Linked DNA regions of Caenorhabditis elegans. The protein of the gene in region 2 interacts with the protein of the main gene of each other region in a biochemical or structural test. Each region holds a gene or a part of one and is shown on either strand. Other genes may lie near its edges.

Region 1 (4,610 bases), on a different chromosome or scaffold from region 2:
CACCATAGTCATGGTAATCGATATGCTCGCCTGGAAATGTTACGGTAGCTGCACATGGTGTCAAAACTCTCATTTCTGCTTGATCTACGTTGATCTACAAAAAATGCGGGAGAAGAGAAGCAAAGTTCTCAACTGATTTCGCATAGTGAAGAACGTGCTGACGTCACCTGTTTTTGGGAAAAAAATTCCCGCTTTTTTTTGTAGATCAAACCGTAATGGGACAGCCTGGCACCACGTGTAGCTGATAAAATTTCATTCGTGCCAAGACCTAAGGCAGCAGTTTTGCAACTAAACTTTCATTTTTCAAAATAAAAAAGTGTCATTTTTCTCTCAATTGTTTCAAGTTCCTATGATTTTTGCAAGTCTGTGGTCAGTTAACCATGACGATCTATGTAGGCTCGTGTACTCCCCGAGGAGAAGATTTAATTTTTTGTATTACATGAACACAAAATTCTGAGAATGCGTATTGCACAACATATTTGACGCGCAAAATATCTCGCAACGAAAACTACTCTTTAAATGACTACTGTAGCGCTCTTGTGTCGATTTACGGGCTCAGGTGAATATAAATAATTTATTTATCGATAGAGTACTGAAAATCGGTTAAAAATGACCAATGAGCCGCTAAATCGACACAAACGCTACAGTAGTAATTTAAAGACTTACTGTAGTTTTCGCTACGAGATATTTTGCGCGTCAAATATGTTGTGCAATATGCATTCTCAGAATTTTGTGTTCCCGTAATAGTCAAAATTTCAAATTTCAAATTATCTTTTATTTTATAAAATACAATTTTAGGTGTTTGAGGAGAAAATCTATAATTTCAACGTGTCCCTGATACCTGAACCCTGATAGGAAAAAAACCCGGGACTTTTAACACTTTTTGGGTCCTGGCACGATTGAAACTTCAAAATTTTGAGCTACCGTAACCGCGGAAATATTTCGAAATGCTTTTTATTATTTTTAATACATTTTTTATACAGTAAAGCAAAATTTCCAGAGAAACATATATTTCTGCGAAAGTTTCGATCGTGGCAAGACCAATAACAACGTACCAATCAAATTAACACGGCCCGGACACGTGACACGAACTTCTGGCTCAATACCATACAATTTGACGAATTGCTCGGCGAGCTGCTCATTTGAGACCATTTTTAACGAATTTCTGAAACTATATAATAGGAAATTGGAAGTTGTAGAAAAGACAATAGGGGCACCACCACCTATAACAAACAAAATAATATTTATATGACTGTCTGCGTCTCTAACATGTTGACCATACTCTGTGTTGCCCGCCGCCACGTGTTGCGTGCATGGTGTACTGGGAATCTGATAGATAAGGGATTCGATGATGTTCAGTACGGTCTGCGCCTTTGAGGATTACTGTAGTTCACACATTTTCTTATTTTCGAGAAAAATCTATTCAAATAAATACCAAAATTTTTGGACAAACCAAATTTAAAATATCAAAACCCATGTTTTTTTTAAACAAGTGAGCAACGAAAATTTTCGAATTACAGTAATCTTTAAAGGCGCACATATATTTTCGCATTTAATGAAAATGTGTCGCTTCGAGACCGGCTTCAGCATTTTTTGAAGCAGAATTTCTCATCTCGGTAATATGCCTCTTTCTTGACGTTTTCCTAAATTTTTGTCGACAAATTCGACAAATCGGCAATTTGCCGATTTGCCGGAAATTTTCATTTTTGGCAAATTGCCGTTTGCCGGATATCAGATTTGCCGGAAATGTTTAGAGGAATTTTTACAAGACGGAAACACTTAAAACTGTGTCATTTTGAATTTTTTCCCGTTTTTTAAAGGATATTTTCATAAAATTTGCTTAATTTTCAAAATAGATGTAGGAAAATTCATAGGATGCGTTTAATTTTGCCATTTGAAATTAAAATTCCAAAATTTCCAAAAAATAATAAAAACAAAATCACAATTTGCCGAAAATTTTCGGAAAATTGTTGTTTTTCCGGCTACTTGCGGGTTTGCCGGAAACTTAAAATTCCGGCAATTTGCCGATTTGCCGGAAAAAAATCGTTTACCGCCCACCCCTGAACTACAGTACTCCTTAAAGGCGCACACTGGTTTGCAAAAAGATAATCTAGACTGGGTCCCGTCACGGCTCAGAGTTTTTTCCAGAATTTTCAAAGCGAAATTACAAGTTTGTGTTAGTAGCTTCCATCGCGACGAGACCCAGAATATTCCACAATAGGTCTCACCACGAAGCAAAATAGTTATTAATTGCCGGCGTGGCGAGACCCACAGAAACACGTGTTGTCAGGCTGTCCCATTACGGTTTGATCTACAAAAAATGCGGGAATTTTTTGCCAAAACACTCTGCAAAGAACTCTGCGTCTCAACTCCCGCATTTTTGTAGATCTACGTAGATCAAACCGAAATGAGAAAAAGCTTTATTCAAAGTTTTTTGTTTTGATTTTAATTGCAAAAAAGAAAAGAAATTCTTCAACAATAAAATGATTCATTGGCGACTGTCTCTGTGTTGGTTATTAGAAAAAAATAAATCGTTCGATTGGTGGTTTGGATGGCGGAGCAGGGAAAAATAGTTAGACGGGGTCGGTTATTGCCATTCCCAGATTGGCTCGAGCACAACTGGTCCAGAGCTGCCGCTGCTTCGCTTTCCGAACTGGAGAGGCCGATAGTCGCGTTTTCCGAACTGCAATGGACGGTACCCATCTCGCTTGCCGAACTGCAATTTATGTGTGTATAATATTTTTAACTTTTTTTAAAATGTCTTGTTCCCTACCTGAAGTGGCCGGTAATCGCGATCCTGACGGTCAAACGTCGGCGACTGTGTTGCAAAAACTGTAAAAAAAACGGAAGTAATTTTTAGAAAAAAAATTGGCCTAAAAATTGGCCTAAAAATAGTATTAAAACGACGAACCCTCCACGAATACGAGGATGAGCATGAGCAGGGCGCAGCTGTGGTGGCGGAGCATTTTGTCGGAGGCAATTGAAATAAGTTTCGCCGAGTCGAGGTGTCGGGCTTTTATACCACCCCCCCCCCCATCAGTAAACTACAGATTCGTCATATTTCCCAACGGAGCCGGGGGGACCACGCCTTTCCCCCCTACCATTTTGGTTAGCTTCTGGAGTTGATGGGCTCGTAAAAACTGAGAGAGAGATTCATAGCGTTTATCCAAATGAAGTGATGAAAATGGGGTGAAAGGATTTAAAGAAAAAGAGTGATGGGGGAGGGAGAGGGGTAAAAATAGCGATTTCAACAGTCAAAGAAAAAAATAGAAATTTAAAAAATAATTTAAATAGTATCCTCCGGATTCGTCTCGGCCACGAGCTTCAACTGCTCGGCGTTCTCGATCAAGAAGTAGGCGAAGACGGCGATGAAGACGAAGAGAATTGTGAATGTGATCTGGAAAATAGAAAATAAGTTTTTATTGCCAGAAAAAGGGCGAAAAACTCACCGTGCTTCCCAAGAATCCTCCTTTGTTGCTCTGAGCTTGACGAGCCGATGCCCGATCGGCGGCCATTTCCTCTTCCGTCAAGTATCGCATCGACTCCTCGCAATCGTCGCTGTCCGATTCGGGAGAGGTAGTAGCTGCCGCTGTTGCAGCTGACACGTTCTGGAAAACTCGTTGTGGCGGTGATTTCTTCGGTGACGAGCTGATGATCAATGAATCCTCGTTGAATTGAGAGTCGTTGAGATTTGATTGATCTGGAAATTAGAGGTTCGAAAACTTTAAAAATGTTATTTAGAAATTAATAAATAATTTAAATTCAAATCCTCACTGTTAATGCTTCCGTCTGATAACTTGATAAGCTTCTTCTCGTAGAGCTTGCGGGTCGTCGCCACAATTGGCCCAACAGAAACCCCGTGGCTTTTAAGGCTATCGCGTAGTTCGGCATCTGTCAGCTGGGAGACGTCCATTTTTTGTGAGATGGTCTGGAAAAAGCAAAAAATGACAATTTTCAAGCAAAAATTGAGGAAAACGAGCGATTTTCTACCTAAAATCTTGAGAAAATCGTTTATTTATTGAACATTTTACCAAAAAAATTAAAAATGCCCATTTTTTGTGAGATGGTCTGGAAAAGGCAAAAAAATGACAATTTTCGAGCAAAAATTGAGGAAGGGCGATTTTCTACTTAAAAAATGGTTTATTCATTGATTTTTCACCGAAAAAATGAAAAATTCTACAAAAAACTGATTAAAAACAGGAGAAAATGAAAAATTATGAAAAAATAATTTCAAACCCAAGTCAAATTGGCTGAGAGACAACGCGACGGCGAGAGACGCAGAGTGGACGGGTCTCGTCACGATATCGCTTTGTGTCGATTTACGGAGGAATTTCCAGCCCGCAGATTTAAATCAATGATTTTCGCGCGCGCTTTTTTTCCTGAATCATGATTCGAATCATACATAAATAAAATACGGAAAACGAGGTTTTTTTAATAAAGTTTCAACCATTTCTTTTTGTCCACAAAACATTTACATAAAATTAGATCAATGTTAATAGAAATAAATATGAAATTAAAAACTATCGCAAAAAGTCGATACAATAATGGGGAAGAAGAAGGGGGGATGGTGTGTGGATGGGGGATGGTTTTTTTTTCGGTTGAGAAGAAGA
Region 2 (8,451 bases):
GACTTCAAATGTTAAAAAATTATTTTTCCATTTGAAAGTATAAAATAAAACTACAAAAAGCAGCAGAACCAAAAGTTCGAGTAAAGAATAAAAAGAGTTGCAAATTTTCGAAAAAAAAATCCGAAATTTTCGGAACTTTCAAACCAATAACTCAATTTTCCCATACTCTATTGTGAACCTAAAAAAAAACAAAATTTGTTACAATTTTTTCGAGAAACTGAACTTTTGACAAGATTCTTCTGGAAAAAGCCATGTTTACACTAACAAACGGGTAAGCTTAAGCCTGTGTGGGGAAATGTTTATTCCAATGCTTTTAGTGGAAATTTCGAAGTTTTTAGAAACTTTGGATTTGTGCTCAATGAGCAACATTTGAACTATTGGTCACTTTTGGTGGGATAAAAAATTATCGAAGAAAAACTTTTTTTTTTGGATTTTTTTTTTCAAAATGGTCCCAAAATTTGCAGAATTTCATTTTTTTAAATTTGAGTTCAAAAATGTGTTTTCGCTAACCGAAAGCTTTCAAAAAAGTATAATCATGAATGTTGAATTTGATGTTGAATTTTTCTCGAAAATTTTGGGTCCCGCCACGAAAACTCTTGGGGTTACTGTAGAAAAAGAGTTACTGCGCAAAAATTATTTTTCTCGACTTATTTGTGAATTTATACTTCTTTTATGGTAAAAAGTTAGCGAAAAATCTTAAAAGTGGACTTTTGGCGGATTTTCGAAAATATTGAAAAAAAAAACTATGATGGAAAATTTTAAAACTACAGTAACCAAAACAATATCGCGTTGGGACCCAAATTAATTCAATTGTTGTATTCAGTACATCAAGAGCTTCCAAATAAGCTCCATATCGCCTAGGTTGGGTTATTTTGCTTGAAAATTGAAAATTCGGGTCTCGCCACGATTTAAAGGCACATTGAGGGTTGGATTTTTAAAATGGTCGGAAAATATTCGTGATGGGTGCCATTTGAAAGCTCTCGGTGTGTTGAATTTGAAAATTGCGGAAATGAAAAATTTTAGAGGAATATCGAAATAAAATAGTTTGAAAATAATTTTCAAAATTTTTTTCTTTAATCTCAAACACAACTTTTTTTCCAAAATTTTGAATTTTTTTTTTGAAAAAAAAATTCAAACAGCTGTACAAATCCTACAAAACTAAAGAAAAAAAAATTTAAAAAAAGATCTATGTGCTAAAAAGTGGGCGGAGCCAAAGATGGAAATTGGAAAATTGGGCGAACTCTCAAAATTGGCTGAAATTTTTGCTCTTTTCTGGTTTTTCGTCGGGGTTTTTTCTGTAAGTTCATTTTTTGTTAAAAAAAAGTTATTTTGAATCGGTACCCACGCAAATTTTTAAATTTTGGAAATAAAAAAAAAATAAAAATTTCGAAAAAAAAAATTCGAAAAAAAAAATCAGAACCTACTTAAAACTGCAAACTTTCTTAGAAAATGTCGTCACACACACACCCTCACCTCCTCTTCTCTGAATGGGAAATGGCCGGTTAAGTGGCGCAGGGGACACACGAAGGTGTCTACGCGGTGAAGCACCCCCCGCTGAAAGTCCCCTCCGAAAAAATTCGGTTGAACACGTAGAGAAATATGTGTTCTATGGGTTAAAAAGGTCAACGGGTTTTTTGTTAGAACAAAAAGTCTAAGAAATTCTGATAGTTTTGACCTAGTTTTCGCACTTTTGAAATTATTGAAAAAAATTGAAAAAAAAATGTTTCGAACATTTTCGAAAATTTGTAACTTTGTCCGTTTTTGAGATAGTACGGAGATTTATGGCTTAAAATTTTCAGAAGTATTTGCTCTCTTCACGATAAATGCAAAAAACCAATTCTGCGTTCAAAATTTATGAATTCTCAAAGTTTTCGTGGCGGGACCCAAACTTTCCAAAAAAAAAAAAAAGATTAAAATTTCTTTTTCTTTGAAAACCCATTTGCTTTTACTGCTAATAGGCCCCCAGTATGCCTAGCATGTCTAGGTTAAGCCTAAAAATTTTCTAAAAATTTCTAACTCCATGCGCCTTTAAAACGTGGTGAGGCCCTGAATTTTGGATTTACCGTAACCTAGGCAATATGGATGGCATTTGGAAACACTCAGTCTGCTTGATTTTAAATTTTACGTTGAAAAAATAGCCTCAACACAAAACTTTTCGAGTTTTTAAGTAGTTTCTAAGTTTTTCAATTTTTTTTCAAAAAATGTTTTTTCGAATATTTTCGAAAATTCGTAACTTTGTCAGTTTTTGAGATTTTCGAATAAGGTTTGACTTATTACGTGTATAATTATTTTTTCTAAGCGTAAAAATTACAAACAACTAGTTTCGAATACAAAAATCGGTAAAACCTTAGTTTTCTTTGCGGAACCCAAAAGTTAATTTTCAAAATATGTCGAAGCTTTTCAAAACTCCGTAACTTTGTCAGCTTTTGAAAATTTTTTTGTTTCTTATTATTTAAAGTTTTAAATAACTAGATAAAATTAGAAAAATAATTTTATAAACGAAACTACAGTAACCCGAAGGGTTTTCGTGGCGGGACCCTAAAATATCATAAATATGTGGGGAAATGTAATATGGACATGATGGGGGTTGTTGGAAAGGTTTCAAAAAGTTAAATAAGGTGAAATAAACAAAGTAAAAATTTCCAAGTTTAAAAAAATTTTCGACCAAAAAAAAATTTGTTTTTCGAAACTTTCAAAATTCTCCAAAACTATCACAATAATTATTTATGGTCCCCAAGTTCTATAAAACGTTGCAAAAACGGCTTGAAAAGCTCAATACGGGTGAAACGACGAGTTAAGCCCTTGTGACGGGGGCTAGCGCGCCCCGTGAGAAGCGAAAGATTAGCGCATTTTCTTCAAATTTTCTCGACTTTAGACGAGTAGTGAGGATTCAGAATTTTCTTTAGAAAACTAGAAAAAAGAAAAAGAAGAAGATACGGAGATGTTATTGGATGATTCAGAAAATTAGAAGGGGAGCAGGCGTGAGAGACCTTCGGCGGAAAATACGATCAGATGTCTATTCGAGTGCAATTTGTTGTGTGTTTTGAACGTCTAGAATATCATGGAAAGTCTATAAAGTAATTAAAACCCGGAAACTAGTTGTAAATGTTTTTTTGAAAAATTAAAAAAAAAACTTTAAAATTTTTCAAAAAAAATGTTTTTTCAAATTTTTTTTTTTGAAATTTGAACTTTTTTTCGAAATTTTTGATACCAGGGCTTTCAAAAATTCACAACGACACCCATCTAGTCATATACGCCTTTAAATCGTTGCGAGACCCAGCATTTTAAAAATCTGGCAGACCATAATTTTCCAAAAAAAATCCAAAAAACTACCAAAAAAAGAGGAGGCAATTTTCGAAAATTTCAGCCATTTTCCAGTACAGAGTTCAAATATTTTCCAACACGAAAAAAATTTTTTTGTATATTTTTACAGTCACTCTTAACGTTTTTGTGGAGGGAGCCTGGAAATCTCAAAAATACAAAAAATCCAAAAAAGTATTTTTTCTAAAAATTTTGGAAATTTTCCGATTTTTCAAAAATTCATAACTTTTTCAGTTTTCAAGTTTTTCAACTGATTTTTGGCTTTAAATTTGTGAAATCTTATTGGCTAAATGTTAAAATTAACTTTTACACAGTAATATTTTTTTCTACAGTAGCCCCAAGAGTTTTCGAGTCGGGACCCAAAATATTCGATAAAAATTAAAAATGAGCAGAACATAGTCATGTTTATACTTTTTTGAAAGCTCTTGTTAAGCTGAAGCACATTTTTACTTTGAAACAAAATTCTAGAAATTTTGGAACAATTTTTAAAAAATTATTTTGAAAAAAATTCTGAAAATTTTTTTTTAAGTTGGAAAATTTTTCGATTTTTAAAAATTTCATAACTTTGCAATTTTTCGAGAATTTTAGATGGTTTTAACCTAAAATGTGTAAAATTTAATTGACTAAATGCTCGAATTAATTTTTACACAATAGAATTTATTCTACAGTAACCCCAAAAGTTTTCCTGGTGGGACCCAAAATTTCAAAAAAAAAAGTTGTTGCAGTTTTTGAAAACCCATAACTTTGCCAATTTTTGACTTTATTCAAAGATTTTAAAGTTACAATTTGTGAAAATTTATGGCCTAAATGACAAAAAAATTTTTAAAGTCAATAGGTACAATACTACACTAACCCAAAGAGTTTTCGTGGTGGGACCCAAAACTTTAAAAAAAAATTACGAGACAAGCCGGAATTTTCAGATATTTAAAAGCTAGCAGAGCCTTTCCGAGATTTCTCAGAATCTGATGATGTTTTCCGAACAAAAATCTTCTGTTCCAGTAACTCAATCAACTAATTTTTGATCTAATTTTCGGCGGGAAAAAAGGAGAAAAAAGGAGAAAAACTGCCGCTCACTTGCTGTTCAATGTCCATATTGGCGGCGGTGAAGTGGCGTTCAGAAGCTCCAAAAATGACGAAGAATTCATTGTATCATAATTGGTGATGTTCTCATCGTCCGCCGCATTCATAATGGTGTTCCTGAAAAAATTTAAAAAACTAGGGATTTTTTGGAAAAAACATTTTTTTTTGCGAATGAGGAAGTAAGAAGGGGCAAGGGAAACTGGAAAAATAGTAAATAAAAAAATAAAATACAATTGGATTAAAAAAATTCAGTAAAAAGTTAGCGAAAATTTGAAAAAAGTTGTAAGGTTGGGAAATTAGGAAAAAAGCTTTTGGAAAAAAATTTGAATTTTTTTAAATTTAAAGTTTAATAATGATAACAAAATGTTACAATCAATTTTTTAGATTTTTACAAAAAATAACTCAAAATTAGGGTCCCGCCGCGAAAACCACGAAAGAAAAATTGAAAAATCAAAAAAAAAATTATTTTTTGAAAATTTGTGTCTCGCCACGAAAATTCGTGGGGTTAGTGTAGAATGGATTTTACTGTGTTAAAATTAAATTTAGTATTCAGCCAATAATATTGCACAAATTTTAAGCCAAAAATCAACTGAAAATCTCCAAAACTAAAAAAGTAATGAATTTTTGAAAATCGTAAAATTTCCAAAATTAGAGTCCCACCAGGGGTGTGCGGCAAATTTGCCGAACTTGCCGAATTTGCCGTGTGCCGAATTTGCCGAGTTCGGCAAATTTTGAAATTTGCCGCACACGTCAAAAATTTGACAGGGCAATTTTGACTAAAACCATTGATTTTTTCGCCAAAAATTTAGTAAAATGACACAAAATTGCGTTATTTTGATGCTTAAGCAGACATACTACACGGAACTTATTCAGAAACCAGATGAGTGTTAAGATCTCAGTAGTTTTGGTGTTCCAAAAAACATCAAAAATTATCAAAATTTTCCGAGTTTGTTAAGCACGGCAAATTTGCCGAATTTGCCGCACACCCCTGAGTCCCACCACGAAAACTCTTGGGGTTACTGTAGAAAAATATTGCATTGTCTTGAATTATTTTTACAATTTGAAGTATCATTTGTCGTAAATTTTGAGCCAAAATTAACTGAAATTCTCAAAAATTGACAAAGTTACGGATTTTCAAAAATTAAAAACAAAACTGACAAAAAATTTTTCGCACAAAAAATTTGTCTAATTTGGCAACAAAATGAGAAAATTGATTTTAGAATAAAAAAAACCGACATTAACGTTTTGCAGAAAAGTGAGCAAAAAGAGCAAAAAAGTGGGAGGAAATTGAGCAAAATTAGCTTAGTTAAGGGTCTATGAGCCGCCAGGAAAAGGGAAGTAAAGATGGGAAAAGTGATATTAGATGGCGGGAAATTTGAATTTTGAAGTGAAATTTAGCAAAAAATTAATTGCAAGTTAAAAATGAGGAGAATGGTGTAGTTTGAAAATTAAAAAAAAAAATAAACCACACTCATTTTTTAGTGTACTTAAATACATATTTTTGCAGTTTTCAATAAATTTTTATGTTCAATAAAACAAATGGATAGGCGTACTTGGAACCAGAAACTTTTCCTGAAAAAAAATTTTCATTTATTTTTTTTTTCAGAAATAAGTTTTTTTTTTCCGAAAAGTCGAAAATTAAAAAAAATTAAAAAAATTTTTTTTATCGAATTTTCAAAAAAAAAAACGATTAATTATAACCTTCCGGAAATAAATTGAAATTCCTAACCAAAAAAAAAAGGAAAAAAAAACGTAAAGTAAATAATAATAATAATGATGTGTGGAGGTGGTAGTGAGAAAGATGAATAGATGAAAATATAAATGGGAGGGTGGAAAAAACTGGAAAAAATGGAGAAATTATAAGGAAAATAAGGAAAAAAGCAGACTGAATTTTTATTTTCTTTGAAAAAAAATTCCAAAAAAAACTTTGATAGTTGTAGGCTTAGGCTTAGGCACAGGCCTAAGTTTAAGCTCAGGCTTAGGCTCAGGCTTGTTTTTAGGCTTAGGCTTAGGCTTAAGCTTAGGCTCAGGCTTAGGCTTAGACTTAAGCTTAGGCCTAGACAGGCTTAGGCTTAGGCTAAGGCTAAGGCTTTGGCTTAGACTTAGGCTTAGATTTAGGCTCAGGCTTAGACGTGGCTTAGAATCAGGCTTAGGCCTAGGCTTAGGCTTAGGCTCAAACTTAGGCTTAGACTTAAGCTTAGGCCTAGACAGGCTTAGGCTTAGGCTAAGGCTAAGGCTTTGGCTTAGACTTAGGCTTAGATTTAGGCTCAGGCTTAGACGTGGCTTAGAATCAGGCTTAGGCCTAGGCTTAGGCTTAGGCTCAAACTTAGGCTTAGGCTTAGATTTAGGCTGTGGCTTAGGTCAGGCTCAACCTGGGCTGGGCTCCAAAAAATCCAGAAAAAAGGAAAAACCACAAAAAAATCAGGAAAAATTTGAGATTCCGAAGTCGGGTCAAAAAATATCATAAAAACGGCCGGATATTAGTTTTTTTTTCGAAATTTTCTTTTTTTGGTTTTAGAGTTTTTGAATTTTTCGGGAAATCTCAATTTTAAAATTCAATTTTTTTAAAAGAATTCCGAGTATTTATACAATTTCTTTTCAACAAATTAATTGATCACTAATTTTTTGATAAATTTGATTTTAAAAAATGAGAAAAGTTATTCCTTTAAAGTTTTCCAAAAATTCCAGAAAAAAATTTCAAAAAAATTTCCACTTTTTTTACATGTATGTATTCACAAGGGACTTGAGATGATGATTGCATGTTTTTCAACCGGGAAGTCCACACATTTTTCGTTTTTTTCTTCTTGTATTTTTTCGAGAGAAAGTGTTAGGTGTCCCGGGGATAACAGGAAGCAATCTGGAAATATCTAGAACTTTGGGGAGAAGCTGGGCAAAAAGGATGCATTTTTTCAAGGTGATATGTAGTGGTAAGGATAATAAAATATTATGCAGAATTTTGATTTAAAAAAATATAAAAAATTGAAATTTTGAAGAACAAATTTTTTTCGAAAAAAATTATTTTGCAATTTTTTGTTTTCAAAATTTGTTTTCAAAAAAAAACCTCGATGTAGGTAAAATTTCACCAATTTTTTTCCACTTCATTGCACTTATCACACCCCAAAAGTCCACATTAACAAGTTCTGAAGGTCAAAATCTCAGCTTCACCCAAAAAAAAATTCCAAACCGAAAAAAAAGTAGCAGACGTTCAGCCACCAAACAAAAAAAAATGACGAATTGTCACGGAAAAAGAGGAAACTTGCCATTATACTTACTCTTCTACACTCTACAACCACAAACTTTTGACAGAAAAATGACGAATTCAGGGGAGAAGTCAGTTGGGTCCAGCCACGAAAACTCCTGGGGTACTGTAGTTTTTAATGTATTGAAAACTAAACTAGTTTTATTAATTAGAAATTGGGTTTGTGAACATTTTGAAACAAATTTTAAACAATTAGCTTGAAAATTGATGAAGTTATGAATTTTCGAAAAACAAGAGTTTTTTTTTTTGAAAATTAGAGTCCCACCACGAAAACTCCTGAGGTACTGTAGTTTTTGATTTTTCAAAAAACAAAATTGTTTTTACAATTAGATATTGAAATTTTAAATTTTTTGAAACTAATTTCAAAAAATTAGCATGAAAATTAATAAAGTTATGAATTTTTGAAAACTTCAACAAAAAAAAAACCAAATTTTTTTTCGAAATTTAGAGTCCCGCCACGAACACTAATCTGCTTACGTAATATGAATAAAAAGGAAGTTGAAATAAATTTTTTCATTTAGAATAAGAATTAAGAAAAATTATAGGTAAAAAATCTGAGAAAAATCTCAAAAATTGACAAAGTTAGAAAATTTCAAAACATGGTCGAAATTTCATATGCCGAGCTGAAATTTTCATTTCAGATAGATACAAAATTCGTACCTAATCTAAAATCAAAATTAACTGAAAATCTCAAAATTCGGCAGAGTTATGAATTTTCGAAAAATTACGAAAAAAAAAATTTTTTTTCCATAATTTTATTTCAAAACTAAACTATATACCTTTTCAAGACC

The links. The genes of interacting proteins can lie anywhere in the genome.
Region 1: of the proteins of ckr-2 (region 2) and nlp-12, one has a biochemical effect on the other in vitro, tested with the Caenorhabditis elegans proteins (2 studies listed by BioGRID, with this or other methods).

Annotation. Positions count from the first base shown.
Region 1 is NC_003279.8:1,841,763-1,846,372, reverse strand, and holds nlp-12 (Neuropeptide-Like Protein), read right to left. Parts: upstream 2,990-4,610; 5' UTR 2,967-2,989; coding exon 2,912-2,966; intron 2,833-2,911; coding exon 2,774-2,832; intron 2,717-2,773; coding exon 2,588-2,716; 3' UTR 2,414-2,587; downstream 1-2,413. Other genes in the region: tag-96 (Galactokinase), read right to left, coding at 1-30, 1,056-1,152; emr-1 (Emerin homolog 1), read right to left, coding at 3,287-3,397, 3,450-3,700, 3,775-3,913.
Region 2 is NC_003281.10:2,017,072-2,025,522, forward strand, and holds the start of ckr-2 (G-protein coupled receptors family 1 profile domain-containing protein), read right to left. Parts: upstream 4,509-8,451; coding exon 4,396-4,508; intron 1-4,395.